Macaca mulatta: one gene and its partners. The protein of the gene in region 2 binds, or shares a complex with, the protein of the main gene of each other region. Links are inferred from orthologs where the notes say so. Each region holds a gene or a part of one and is shown on either strand. Other genes may lie near its edges.

Region 1 (4,114 bases), on a different chromosome or scaffold from region 2:
GGCTGTTTGTCCTCCCAGTCTGGGCGGGCAGGGCTGAGCACGGTTTGGGGAGTATTCTGTGACCCGGTCATTCTCCCCTCTGCCCCACCTCAGTCCCCAGCAGCGTCTAGGCGCTGGGAAAGCTGCTCTGGCATAGTTGATGGAGGCAGAGAGCTGCCGAAGAGAGGGCCACAGTTTCTAGCAAAGACAGCGGTGGGCGGCGCGAGTGAGCGTGGGGAGAATTAGCTCTGCCGAATTCACCGAAACTGGATGGGATAATTCATTTTATTCTTGAAACTCCTATTTTACATCTCGTGGGAAACCAAATCGTATTCCACTACACTATGATGCACTTAAAATGGCCAAACCTTAGTGGGACGCGAGGAACGCGCTTGGCTGCCAATTTTCTGTGCGAGAACTGAGAACTCGCAGCAAAGGCACCCGACACCTAGCGGCCCTTCCCCTGGACTCGGAGGCAGCACTCACTCCCGGGGCGCGCTGTCCGCGGGGCACTGGGCCCGCCCAGTCCTCGGCGATTGGTTGCTCGCCCGCGTCTGCTCCGTGACGCACCTTGGCCCCCGAGACACACCGGCCCCTTGGAGCCACTCGTGCGCAAGAGCCGCACACGCCCGAGGCCCGTGGTGCCGCCCCCGCGCCTTCTCCGGCTGGCCCGGAGCTCCCCGGCGTGCTTCCCGAGGTTTCGAGAATCGAAACCCAGTTATCAACAAGCCCTTCCCACTCACGCGCCGTGACTGATTTGCGTGCACGAGTGAACTCATGAGTCCACGCTTGGACCAGGTTTATCAATGGAGTAAATGGTCTAGACACCGAGGTTTAAAAGAGCAGTAGTGAGGAACCTCCGGAGGCCAACAGTGGGAATCTCATGAAGGGCTGTATCCGCGAGAATTTTGGGAAGTTTCTGCAGTTGCAGGATTTTAGTCGCGATCTGGTTTTGATGATCAGTTATGATTCCTGGGGCATTTTAAGTGTCTCCTCCTGGGGAAAATGAAAAGAGATTTGTGGGAGGGGGCGTACATAAATGTATGTATAAATATATGAATCTACCGGCGCGCACAGTATCGGCACATACAGCCCAGCGCCTCGCGCTCACCGGCCGTCGTCCAGCACCAGCTGCTGGGCTAGTCCGCTGCGTGCCCTGCGGGAGGGGGCGGGCAGGGGGCGGCGCCCTATGCAGATGAGGAGGGTGTGGCGAGCGTGCCGCTCCGGGCCCCGGAAGCGCAGAGAAGCCCAGTATAAAAAAAGTACTGAAGACATTTTCCCCGCACAACTGCTAAAGCTCCAGAGACACGAGCGTGTGTGGCAGCAAGAGCCGCCACCTTCAGGACCACCGCAGCTGGGGTGGCAGCGGCGCGGGAGGGGGCGCGGGGAGGGAGTGGTGAGCGCAGGCGGCAGGGGTCTGGGAAAGACGAAGTCGCTAGTCGCTGTCGGAGCGCACTCGCAGCTCCTGGAAGTGTTGCCGCCTCGCGGTTTCTCTCTCGCTCGCTTCGCTCCTAGAAGGGGCGGCCGCCTCCAGGTGACACAGACGGGACTCTCGCTTGCGCTTTCCAGATGCATCAGAGATATTTTTGGTGCGGGGCTGCTCTGCGTGGGGCGGTGCGCGGCTGGGGACTGTAAGGGCCGGGGGAGGTAGAGTCTCCGAGGAGGCCTGGGGCCAGGGAACTATCGGGGGAGGGGGCGCTCTTTTCCTGGTTGGCCTCTGCCCTCCGCCGCCGCGCGTCCTCACCGCGCTCCTTTCCCTTTCCTTTTAGGACTGACCAGGGCCAAGTGGCGCTCGGCGGGCACTACATGGCGGAGGGCGAAGGGTACTTTGCCATGGCCGAGGACGAGCTGGCCTGCGGCCCCTACATCCCCCTAGGCGGCGACTTCGGCGGCGGCGACTTCGGCGGCGGCGACTTCGGCGGCGGCGACTTCGGCGGCGGCGACTTCGGCGGCGGCGACTTCGGCGGCGGCGGCAGCTTCGGTGGGCACTGCTTGGACTATTGCGAAAGCCCCACGGCGCACTGCAATGTGCTGAACTGGGAGCAAGTGCAGCGGCTGGACGGCATCCTGAGCGAGACCATTCCGATCCACGGGCGCGGCAACTTCCCCACGCTCGAGCTGCAGCCGAGCCTGATCGTGAAGGTGGTGCGGCGGCGCCTGGCCGAGAAGCGCATCGGCGTCCGCGACGTGCGCCTCAACGGCTCGGCCGCCAGCCACGTCCTGCACCAGGACAGCGGCCTGGGCTACAAGGACCTGGACCTCATCTTCTGCGCCGACCTGCGCGGGGAAGGGGAGTTTCAGACTGTGAAAGACGTCGTGCTGGACTGCCTGTTGGACTTCTTACCCGAGGGGGTGAACAAAGAGAAGATCACACCACTCACGCTCAAGGTAACACCACCCGAGATGCACTTGGGCCCTGACCCAGACTGGACCGGGTGTTATGGGGAGCGGGCAGAGGGGCGTCGGTTACATGCCATGAATCTGTGGCCATCACGAGTTTGGGCGCGCGTATTTCTTTGATTTTTGATTTTTAAAATGAGTAAACTGACGTGCGTGGACGGTGTTGTGTGTTTCCGTTTACTTGATGCTTTGGCGCTGCAACTCTTCTCCCAGGTCTCCCCTGCCCTCCCTTCTCTTCTTTCTCCTTATATTTTAACTCTTGGCTTTCCCTGTTGGAGTCTTGTCCAGAGTAGATTCTGATACTTGGCAGAATGAAATAATGTAAATAATTTTTTGAGACATTGTATGATCTAGTCTTTGGGAAAATGACAGCCTGAAGCAGAAGTGAGTCAATGAGTTTTTTCTTGTACTGGAAAAGGTGAATAGATTTCACAGCGGCATTCAGTTGACTCCGTGTTAAAGGTCTGTCTGGTGGTTCTCCGTGCTGGTTCATATGTTAAGGGTATAGTGGCACCCCCTCCCTACCCTCCACTTTAGTTCAAGACGGGTTTTTTATGATTAGTTAAAATTGTCTGAGGTGGCAGGGTCCCAGAATGTCATAATTTAGTTTATATATTTGATTGTAACTGCAGAGTGCCCCTGGAGGGACACAAGATACTGATAACATTGATTGCCGCAGGCGGAGAGGAGAGGAATTGGGTGGCTTGGAACAAGGGTGAGGCTGACTAACCTACCGCTGAATGCCCTTCCGAGTCTTTTGAATGTTGTTTGGATCTGTGTGAATATTGTGCCTATTAGACCATTTTCAAAAAGTAACACTTAAAAAGTCAGACATGACAACAGAACCTCTTACTACTGTGTTACGTCTGCCAAAAGCCTCAAACTATTACCTCTAGTCCCTTTCCCAGACAGTAAAACTACTCGTTAAAAGTATTTTTTTTTTTTTCTATTTTCAGAAGAACGTTTAAGCCTGTAGGTAGTGTTTGGCTGAAACTTGACAAAACAAAAGGGAAAGAGCAAAATAATTCTCAGCTGTGAAGAGGATGTATTTATTTATTTATTATTTATTTATTATTTTCTAGGTTTGCTCATTTTGTTTTATCTTTTAAATTGTAGGAAGCTTATGTGCAGAAAATGGTTAAAGTGTGCAATGACTCTGACCGATGGAGTCTTATATCCCTGTCAAACAACAGTGGCAAAAATGTGGAACTGAAATTTGTGGATTCCCTCCGGAGGCAGTTTGAATTCAGTGTAGATTCTTTTCAAATCAAATTAGACTCTCTTCTGCTCTTTTACGAATGTTCAGAGAACCCAATGACTGAGACATTTCACCCTACAATAATTGGGGAGAGCGTCTATGGCGATTTCCAGGAAGCCTTTGATCACCTTTGTAACAAGATAATTGCCACCAGGAACCCAGAGGAAATCCGAGGGGGAGGCCTACTTAAGTACTGCAACCTCTTGGTGAGGGGCTTTAGGCCCGCCTCTGATGAGATCAAGACCCTTCAGAGGTATATGTGTTCCAGGTTTTTCATCGACTTCTCAGACATTGGAGAGCAGCAGAGAAAACTGGAGTCCTATTTGCAGAACCACTTTGTGGGATTGGAAGACCGCAAGTATGAATATCTCATGACCCTTCATGGAGTGGTGAATGAGAGCACGGTGTGCCTGATGGGACATGAAAGAAGACAGACTTTAAACCTTATCACCATGCTGGCTATCCGGGTGTTAGCTG
Region 2 (3,647 bases):
ATGTTTGCCTATTTTAAAGTCTAGATGTTTGTAGTTTTTCTGGTAACAACTATTTTGTGTGTTATTTGCAGGAAGTGAATATTGAATTTGAAGCTTATTCCCTATCAGATAATGATTATGACGGAATTAAGAAATTACTGCAGCAGGTATTGTCTTTTATTTATTATGCATAAATTTTCTCTTCTAAGAAAAATCGGGCTGGGTGCAGTGGTTCATGCCTATAATCTCAGCATTTTGGAAGGCCAAGGTGAGAGGATCACTTGAGCCCAGGAGTTTGAGACCAGCCTGGACAACATAATGAGAACCTGTCTCTACAAAAAAATAAAAAATTAGCCAACTGAGGTAGCACACACCTTTAGTCCTAACTCCTAAGGAGGCTGAGGCCAGAGGATTACTTGAGTCTAGGAGCTCAAGGCTGCAGTGAGCTATGAATGCACCACTGAGCTCCAGTCTGGGCAACAGAGCAAGCCTCTGTCTCTTAAAAAAAAAAAGATTCAGGTCATTCAATACAGGCTTTCTCAAATTCAAATTTGTAGAATTTCCATTTCTGTCCTCTCTACCTTGCTTGGAAGATAGAATTATTTCCTTTCATCTGCTAATTAGTTGAGCTATTTTTTTTTTTTTTAAATTCACAATTCTTATGTAACAGTCATATAACTGTGCTGTTTGGTGCTATAAAATTGATGCTTGCTGCTTCTCCTTATTCTTTTACTCATATAATATGACTCTGGTTCTTTAACCTTTATAGCCTCTACTGTCCTTTTCACCAAATTCTTTGGCCTTATGTTTATCCTCTCTTCTCCCTTTTTTCCTCCCCCTCCCCCATTACTTCTGTATTACCACTGACTGCTTTTCTGAAATTTCATAATCTTTAGCTTCTTTGACTCTCCTGGGCTTTTCTTTCCCTCTTGGGATTGCTTTTCTAGGTCATCTTCTTAAGTCACAGAAATTTCGTTATTTGTATTTGAATATAGGATTTGAAGTTATTAGAAATCATGCTTTGATCTTAATTTAAAATTTTTTCCTCCTTTTAGCTTTTTCTAAAGGCTCCTGTGAACACTGCAGAACTAACAGATCTCTTAATTCAACAGAACCATATTGGGAGTGTGATTAAGGTAAGCAGGACAATTGTGTTTATTCTGATTAAATTAGTTCTTTATTCTGTTCATGCTGGGCATCACCATGCTTGTAATCCTAGCACTTTGGGAAGCAAAGGTGGGAGAATTGCTTGAGGCCAGGAGTTCAAGACCATCCTGGGCAACATAGCAATACTCTGTCTCTACAAAAAATAACAAAAAATTAGCCGGGCATAGTGGCACCTGCCTATAGTCTTTTTACCCAGGTGGCTGAGGTAGGAGGATCTCTTCAGCCAAGGAGTTGAAGGCTGTGATGAGCTTTGATTGTGCCACTGCACTCTAGCCTGGCAACACAGCAAGACCCTATATCTGGGGTGGGTGGGGGAAGAGTTCTTATTCTGTTTAGCTCAAATTGGAAGCAGGACTACTGGAGGAAGGGAGACTGATCAGAAGTCATTGCAGAAATCCAAGCTTATTAAATGCAGTAGGCCAGGTGGTGGCAATGGAGAGGGAGAGAAGTGGGCTCATTTAGAATATATTTGGGAGATGAAATATGATGGGGTTTAGTCCCTGATTGGGTCTGAAAGTGAGAGGAAAAGGAGTCAAGGATGACTTCCAGGTTTCTAGCTTGAGCAAACAGGATAACAAACATGGAAGAAGGCCAGGTTAGGAGGGGGAATGTGAGTTTGGGTTTGTACATTTTGCGTTTGAGTTACCTGTGAGATACCGGGTAGCGGGTGGAGCCCTGGAGACTTGGGAGTTTGTCGTAAATGTTATTGAAGTCATAGAAGTGATTGAGATTGCGCAGGGAGGGAAGGGACAGACACCTTAGTAATACCAAGAATACTTGGATATCCGAGTATTGTAAGTGGCAGAGCCAGCAAAGGAGATTAAAAGGGATGACAGGAGAAGTACAAGAAACAACAGTGCAGTGATGTCATACATGGCAAGAAAGACAACATTTGAAGGAGGAGGGGATGGTCATCCTTATCAGATAGATGTTGTAGAGAGCTCAACAAAATAGGACTGGTTTGGACCCTGGCTCTGCTGCTTATCATCTGGTGGTTCTTTGGGTTGTCTGTTGTTTGTATAACAAACCACTTCATAGCTTAGTGTTGTAAAATAGCAACACTCATGTATTTGGCTCATGGATCTACAGTTTGGACAGAGCTCAGTGGGCACAAGTCATCTCTGCTCCTGCTCCATCATGTTAACTGGGGAGGCTCGACTAGGGGCTGGAGGATTCCCTTTCAAGATGGCTCACTCACATGACTGGCAAGTTAGCCCTAGCTGTCTGTTGTGAGCTTAGCTGGGACTCTGGACCAGGGGCCTTAGTTCTTGTCCATGTGGGCCTTGCCACATATTGGGTTGCTTCCAAGAGCAAGCAGCCCAAAAGAAGCAGGCAGAAGTGGTGATATAGTGCCATTTCCACCATTTGCTTAGTCAGTACAGATACAAATTTCTACCCAGGGGGAGGCCACATTGATTCCACCACTCCATGAGAAAAGTATCTAGGTCACTTTGTCAGAAGAGCATGTCCAAGAAGAGATCCACTGGGGCCATCTGCGAAAGATACAATCTGCCACAGTACCTTAATCTATTTCCATTTCTAGCTCTGAAAATGAGGATGATACTAGCACCTATCTTGTAGAGTGCATGGGTAAACAAAATGAGTTGCTGATTGCTTAGAACAGTGCCTGGCAACTGACAAGTGCTACATATGTGTAGCTGTCACTGTTGATGTCTTTTTCCTGTTCCCAGCACCTGTTCCCTAGCCTGTTGTGAAAAAGACAACAAAAGTTCCATTCAGTCTAATGTTCCACTCAAAGTACATCACCTTCAGAGCCAAAATTCTTGAAAAGTAATCTTAAGTCATGGTTTCTACTTCCTGTCCTCCTATTCATTCTTCAGACATTCTTATCTGACTTTTACACAACTAAAATTCTGACACTGAATGATAGGGTCACCAACATACTTGTTACTAAATGCAGTGTCCACTTTTCAAGGCTTCTGACAATATTAGTAACCTTATGGCACTCAATGTAAAGAAAATGAGAAATTAAACCTACAGGGGCTTCCTTTTATTAGGGCAATGGGAAAAAGCAGACCACCTGCCCTTTCATCAAATAAATGTGATTTCTAGCTGATTCGTGTCTTAGAAGACACTTAGAAGACCTAATGGATATGGAGAAGCAGCAGTTATTTTTATCCTTGAAAGAGGTTATCTAATGGCAGGATTCACCCTTTAAATGGATAATTACATCGATAGCTCTGCAGTTATAACTGGCTTCTTTGGCTTCTCCAGAGACACCTGAGGTGTCCTGAGGATAGAGACTTCTTGTTCTTAGTAAAGGGACTACCCACAGCATTCAGTGGAGCCAGTCCCTAGGATCATAGAACAAAGGGCAGGGGGGTTCTCTTTTATCCCTTCTCTCTTGCCCATGTGGTAGGTATAAGTGGCCCTCAGGCACTGCCCAGCTTCACTTATGGTCAAGATTGACAAGTGTTCTGGAAACTCATGAGTTTTAGATGAAACAATGCTGTGGGCCAGCAGAGAAGCAAGGCTTGGCT
Region 3 (3,647 bases), on a different chromosome or scaffold from region 2:
AAAAAAAAAAAAAAACTACCCACTGTGTGTAAGTATATATAAACGCATTTTCCCCTCAGTACTCTTAGAATTTCATGCTTTTACATTCAGTCTTTGATCTGTCCAATCTCGATCTTAGTTTGGCATGAAATAGGGAGCCCCTTTTATTTTTTTCTTTTTGATAATTTAGATAACCATCCAGATGTTTTTCTTCACTTTACTATTCTAAAATGCCTCCTTTAATTATATACTAAATCCCTTTACATATCTGATTTTATTTCTAGATTTAAAAAATTTTGTTCCATTGATTTGTCTTTTTGGGCCAATAACATGCCATTTCAATTATTGTGGTTTTGTGATATCTGTTACAGGCTAGTATGTATCATTCCTATTTTTCACAATGTTTTCTGGCTATTTCTGCCTCTCCTACCATATGAACCTTACAAATTCTGTCTAAAACAAATTCTAACTTTGAGTCTACTAGAAGTTCACATACTTTAAAATATATGAAAATTCTCAACCTGGTGTACTTCCCCCCACTAAAAAAAAAGGCTCATAGCTTCCAGACTATCACCAGTCTCAGATGTCCCTCCTCTAATGTTCAGAACCACGGTTCTAGCATAGGCGTAGTCCTGACTTTAATCCTACAAGTCGTCTTTTTGAAGAACTCCTTAAAAAAAGACTTGAGTCAGAATGTATTCCTATAGTTATTCTCCTCTGTAACATTATTGAGGTTCTGGCTGGAGATTTAAAAAAAAAATTGTTGCTTGTATCTCAAGTACTGATTGCATTACAGCCTCTGGTTGCCGTGTGACTTCTCATGCCTGTGTCATAAAGATGAGCCTTGAAAGCATAACAGGTGATTCACAGTAGCAAGTGAGTTGTATTTCTTTAGGTAGACCAACGTACCTGAAATCTATAAAACCCATGCCACCAAATCATAGTCTAGCTGTGGTCACAGTAAAGCCAGTGCCATAACTTTCTGTAATTATTTGAACTTAATTGTGTAGCTCAGGGTTCTCCATCCCCCAGACCACGGGGCAGTACCAGTCCGTGGCCTGTTAGGAACTGGGCAGCACAGCAGGAGATGAGTGGCAGGTGAGCGAGCATTACCACCGCAGTTCTGCCTCCTGTCAGATCAGCAGCACATTAGATGCTCATAGGAGTGTGAACCCTAGTATGAACTGAGCATGTGAGGGATCTACGTTGTGCCCTCCTTATGAAACTCTAATGCCTGATGATCTGAGGGTGAAACAGGAACAGGTTCATGCTGCAACTCTCAACCCCCACTTCCACGTCCGTGGAAAAGTTGTCTTCCACAAAACTGGTCCCTGATACGAAAAAGGCTGGGGACCACTGGTGTGGCACATACAGTGGACACAAATGTACTGTGTGCTAATCATGGGAGACCACAAAGAACTGCTAAGTGTTTAAAGGATATGGCAAAAAGAGAACTCTACTATCCCAAATCTGCCTTGAAACCAAATGCCAGTCACATTATTCATCACAGATTTTGCTTGGGATCCATAACCTACGAGTGCTTTGTAAGATGATCTAGATAGCCTAGGACTTTTTAATGCTGTTCAGAGACACTTTTGTCTTCCCCTCCACGAGTACTCTGTAGCAAGCAATAGAGCACTCATCCCCAGAGAGGTCCTGCAGATCCTGCTGTGATCACATACTCAGCCCACTGCTTTCTGCCTCTTGGCCCCAACCAAGAGCTCATGTTCTCTTTCTGTTGGCTTGTGTCCCCTCTCTATAAGTGAACTCTGTGGCCTTCCTCTTCACCCCAACCAGGGACACCCTTTCTTCTACTTTTATATTACATTTAATTTCTACTACTAGAGTTGTCTACACCACACACTGCCTCGTATTGATACCTCATATTTTCACTACCTTCTTGATGGGAGAGCCTGAAGAGCTCATCTTCATGTACCTAGCAATGCCCTGACAACCAAGTAACAATCATAGGGGATCCCTGGCACCGGTGCAAGGCCAGAAATCCATGTTGGAACCCTAGGAGAATGCATGCCGACGTGTGTTCAGACACAGCAGCTTCCAAACAATGAAACTGCAGAAGTCATTGGGATGGGTTTTGTGTGTGTCTAGCAAGTCAGAAAGGCGGAGGGGGTGGGAAAACTGTTCACAGTGAAATCTGAGGACAGCACCTTGACTCTTTGTTTTGGGTTTTACATCCATCTAGCAAATATTCGACTCGTGGCTCTACAGGCACCTTGACATTTTAATATATGAGTATTTGCTTTTATATATTAGGATTTCCAGGGATCCATTGTGTTTTATTTTTTGATAAGTATAACGTAGCTGAAAATTACTTGGGAAACTTTGTGGTCCTAGCAGATGAAGTGGTGGTTTTCTCCTAGTACTCAGTGCCAACTTTATTCTCCTCGGGTAGCTTTAACGTACTATTTTTTTTTCCCAAGTCCACTTAAAGGTACACACTGCCCTGAGGAAGTTGGCCATGTCCTGTGTCGGGCATCCATCCTAGGAAGAGTGGTTCCACCACATAGGTGACCTAACCTTTTGTTGACTAGAAATTTCGTCGTAAAAACAACTCCTTGCTTCTACCCTAGATGACAAGTACTTGTTAGGACAGACTTCTCCTGTCATGAGAATTTTGCTAAAGGAACATGCTTTATTCCAGTAGAAGGGGTTGGACTCCCACTTATTGGTGAGATGGTAGCCCAAAGTTGAGAATTCATCTACTTGTGGAGTGAAGGAAGTCATGTGTGTGTGTGTGTGTGTGTGTGTGTGTATTGTATATTCTGTGTGTGAGTGTTGTAGCCTAGGTGTCAAACAGGTCAAGATGTGGTTAGGGAGCCAGAAAGCTGGAGAAGTAACTAATTCTTCTGCGGTCCTATACGGTTTGCTAACATTCTGTTTTCAGCACATTCGAAACACACTCTGTCTCAGCACACTCCACCCTCACCCAGAAAAAACAAGCAAAACAACACAACCCCAAACAAAACAAAACTATGAAGTAATCTAAAGTAATATGGAATGAGTTTGTGTGTTTTTGTCCTTCTCTGCGGAGTCACTGTTTTTTACATATTTAACTCATTGAGTCCTCACAGCAACACTGAGCAGTAAGTGCTATTTATCACCATTTTATAGGAAGATGTTCAGAGATTAAATAATGAGTTCCTTGAGCTGCTTTGCCATGTAGAAGCGAATCCTAACTCTGTTTCTCACCCCTCACTTTCAGTTTCCCCAGCCAGAACATCCCCCGAAGATGGCAGAGGAGAGCAGCTGTACCAGGGACTGCATGTCCTTCAGCGTGCTCAACTGGGATCAGGTTAGCCGGCTGCACGAGGTCCTGACTGAGGTTGTACCTATCCACGGACGAGGCAACTTTCCAACCTTGGAGATAACTCTGAAGGACATCGTCCAGACCGTCCGCAGTCGGCTGGAAGAGGCAGGCATCAAAGTGCAGGACGTCCGGCTGAATGGCTCTGCAGCTGGCCACGTTTTGGTCAAAGACAATGGCTTGGGCTGCAAAGACCTGGACCTAATCTTCCATGTGGCTCTTCCAACAGAGGCAGAATTTCAGCTGGTTAGAGATGTGGTTCTGTGTTCCCTTCTGAACTTCCTGCCAGAGGGTGTGAACAAGCTCAAAATCAGTCCAGTCACTCTGAAGGAGGCATATGTGC

The links.
Region 1: the proteins of BCCIP (region 2) and TENT5A are in contact, whole or in part, in a crystal structure (PDB 8EXE), measured with the Homo sapiens proteins. The link is inferred for Macaca mulatta from reciprocal best matches to the Homo sapiens genes BCCIP and TENT5A. Residues at the interface, in NP_510868.1 of Homo sapiens: Val57, Asn58, Ile59, Glu60, Phe61, Glu62, Ala63, Tyr64, Ser65, Leu66, Gln146, Val149, Leu150, Phe152, Cys153, Glu154, Lys155, Asn156, Cys157, Glu158, Lys159, Glu163, Lys167, Leu203, Ala204, Ala206, Thr225; in NP_060103.2 of Homo sapiens: Arg87, Gly88, Asp139, Glu151, Gln155, Lys158, Lys184, Glu185, Val188, Gln189, Lys190, Met191, Val192, Lys193, Val194, Cys195, Asn196, Asp199, Trp201, Asn213, Arg289, Lys295, Glu331, Arg334, Gln341, Asn342, His343.
Region 3: the proteins of BCCIP (region 2) and TENT5C are in contact, whole or in part, in a cryo-EM structure (PDB 8EQB), measured with the Homo sapiens proteins. The link is inferred for Macaca mulatta from reciprocal best matches to the Homo sapiens genes BCCIP and TENT5C. Residues at the interface, in NP_510868.1 of Homo sapiens: Val57, Asn58, Ile59, Glu60, Phe61, Glu62, Ala63, Tyr64, Ser65, Arg136, Gln146, Cys153, Lys155, Ala204, Gly205; in NP_060179.2 of Homo sapiens: Asp90, Asp92, Glu102, Gln106, Arg109, Lys135, Glu136, Val139, Gln140, Lys141, Leu142, Val143, Lys144, Val145, Cys146, Thr147, Asn164.

What each region holds. Positions count from the first base shown.
Region 1 is NC_133409.1:104,076,752-104,080,865, forward strand, and holds the start of TENT5A (terminal nucleotidyltransferase 5A), read left to right. Parts: upstream 1-1,261; 5' UTR 1,262-1,548; coding exon 1,549-1,568; intron 1,569-1,748; coding exon 1,749-2,367; intron 2,368-3,495; coding exon 3,496-4,114.
Region 2 is NC_133414.1:137,881,779-137,885,425, forward strand, and holds part of BCCIP (BRCA2 and CDKN1A-interacting protein), read left to right. Parts: intron 1-71; coding exon 72-146; intron 147-1,034; coding exon 1,035-1,115; intron 1,116-3,647. UniProt on the Homo sapiens protein: During interphase, required for microtubule organizing and anchoring activities. During mitosis, required for the organization and stabilization of the spindle pole.
Region 3 is NC_133406.1:122,654,772-122,658,418, reverse strand, and holds part of TENT5C (terminal nucleotidyltransferase 5C), read left to right. Parts: intron 1-3,202; 5' UTR 3,203-3,229; coding exon 3,230-3,647. UniProt on the Homo sapiens protein: Catalyzes the transfer of one adenosine molecule from an ATP to an mRNA poly(A) tail bearing a 3'-OH terminal group and enhances mRNA stability and gene expression.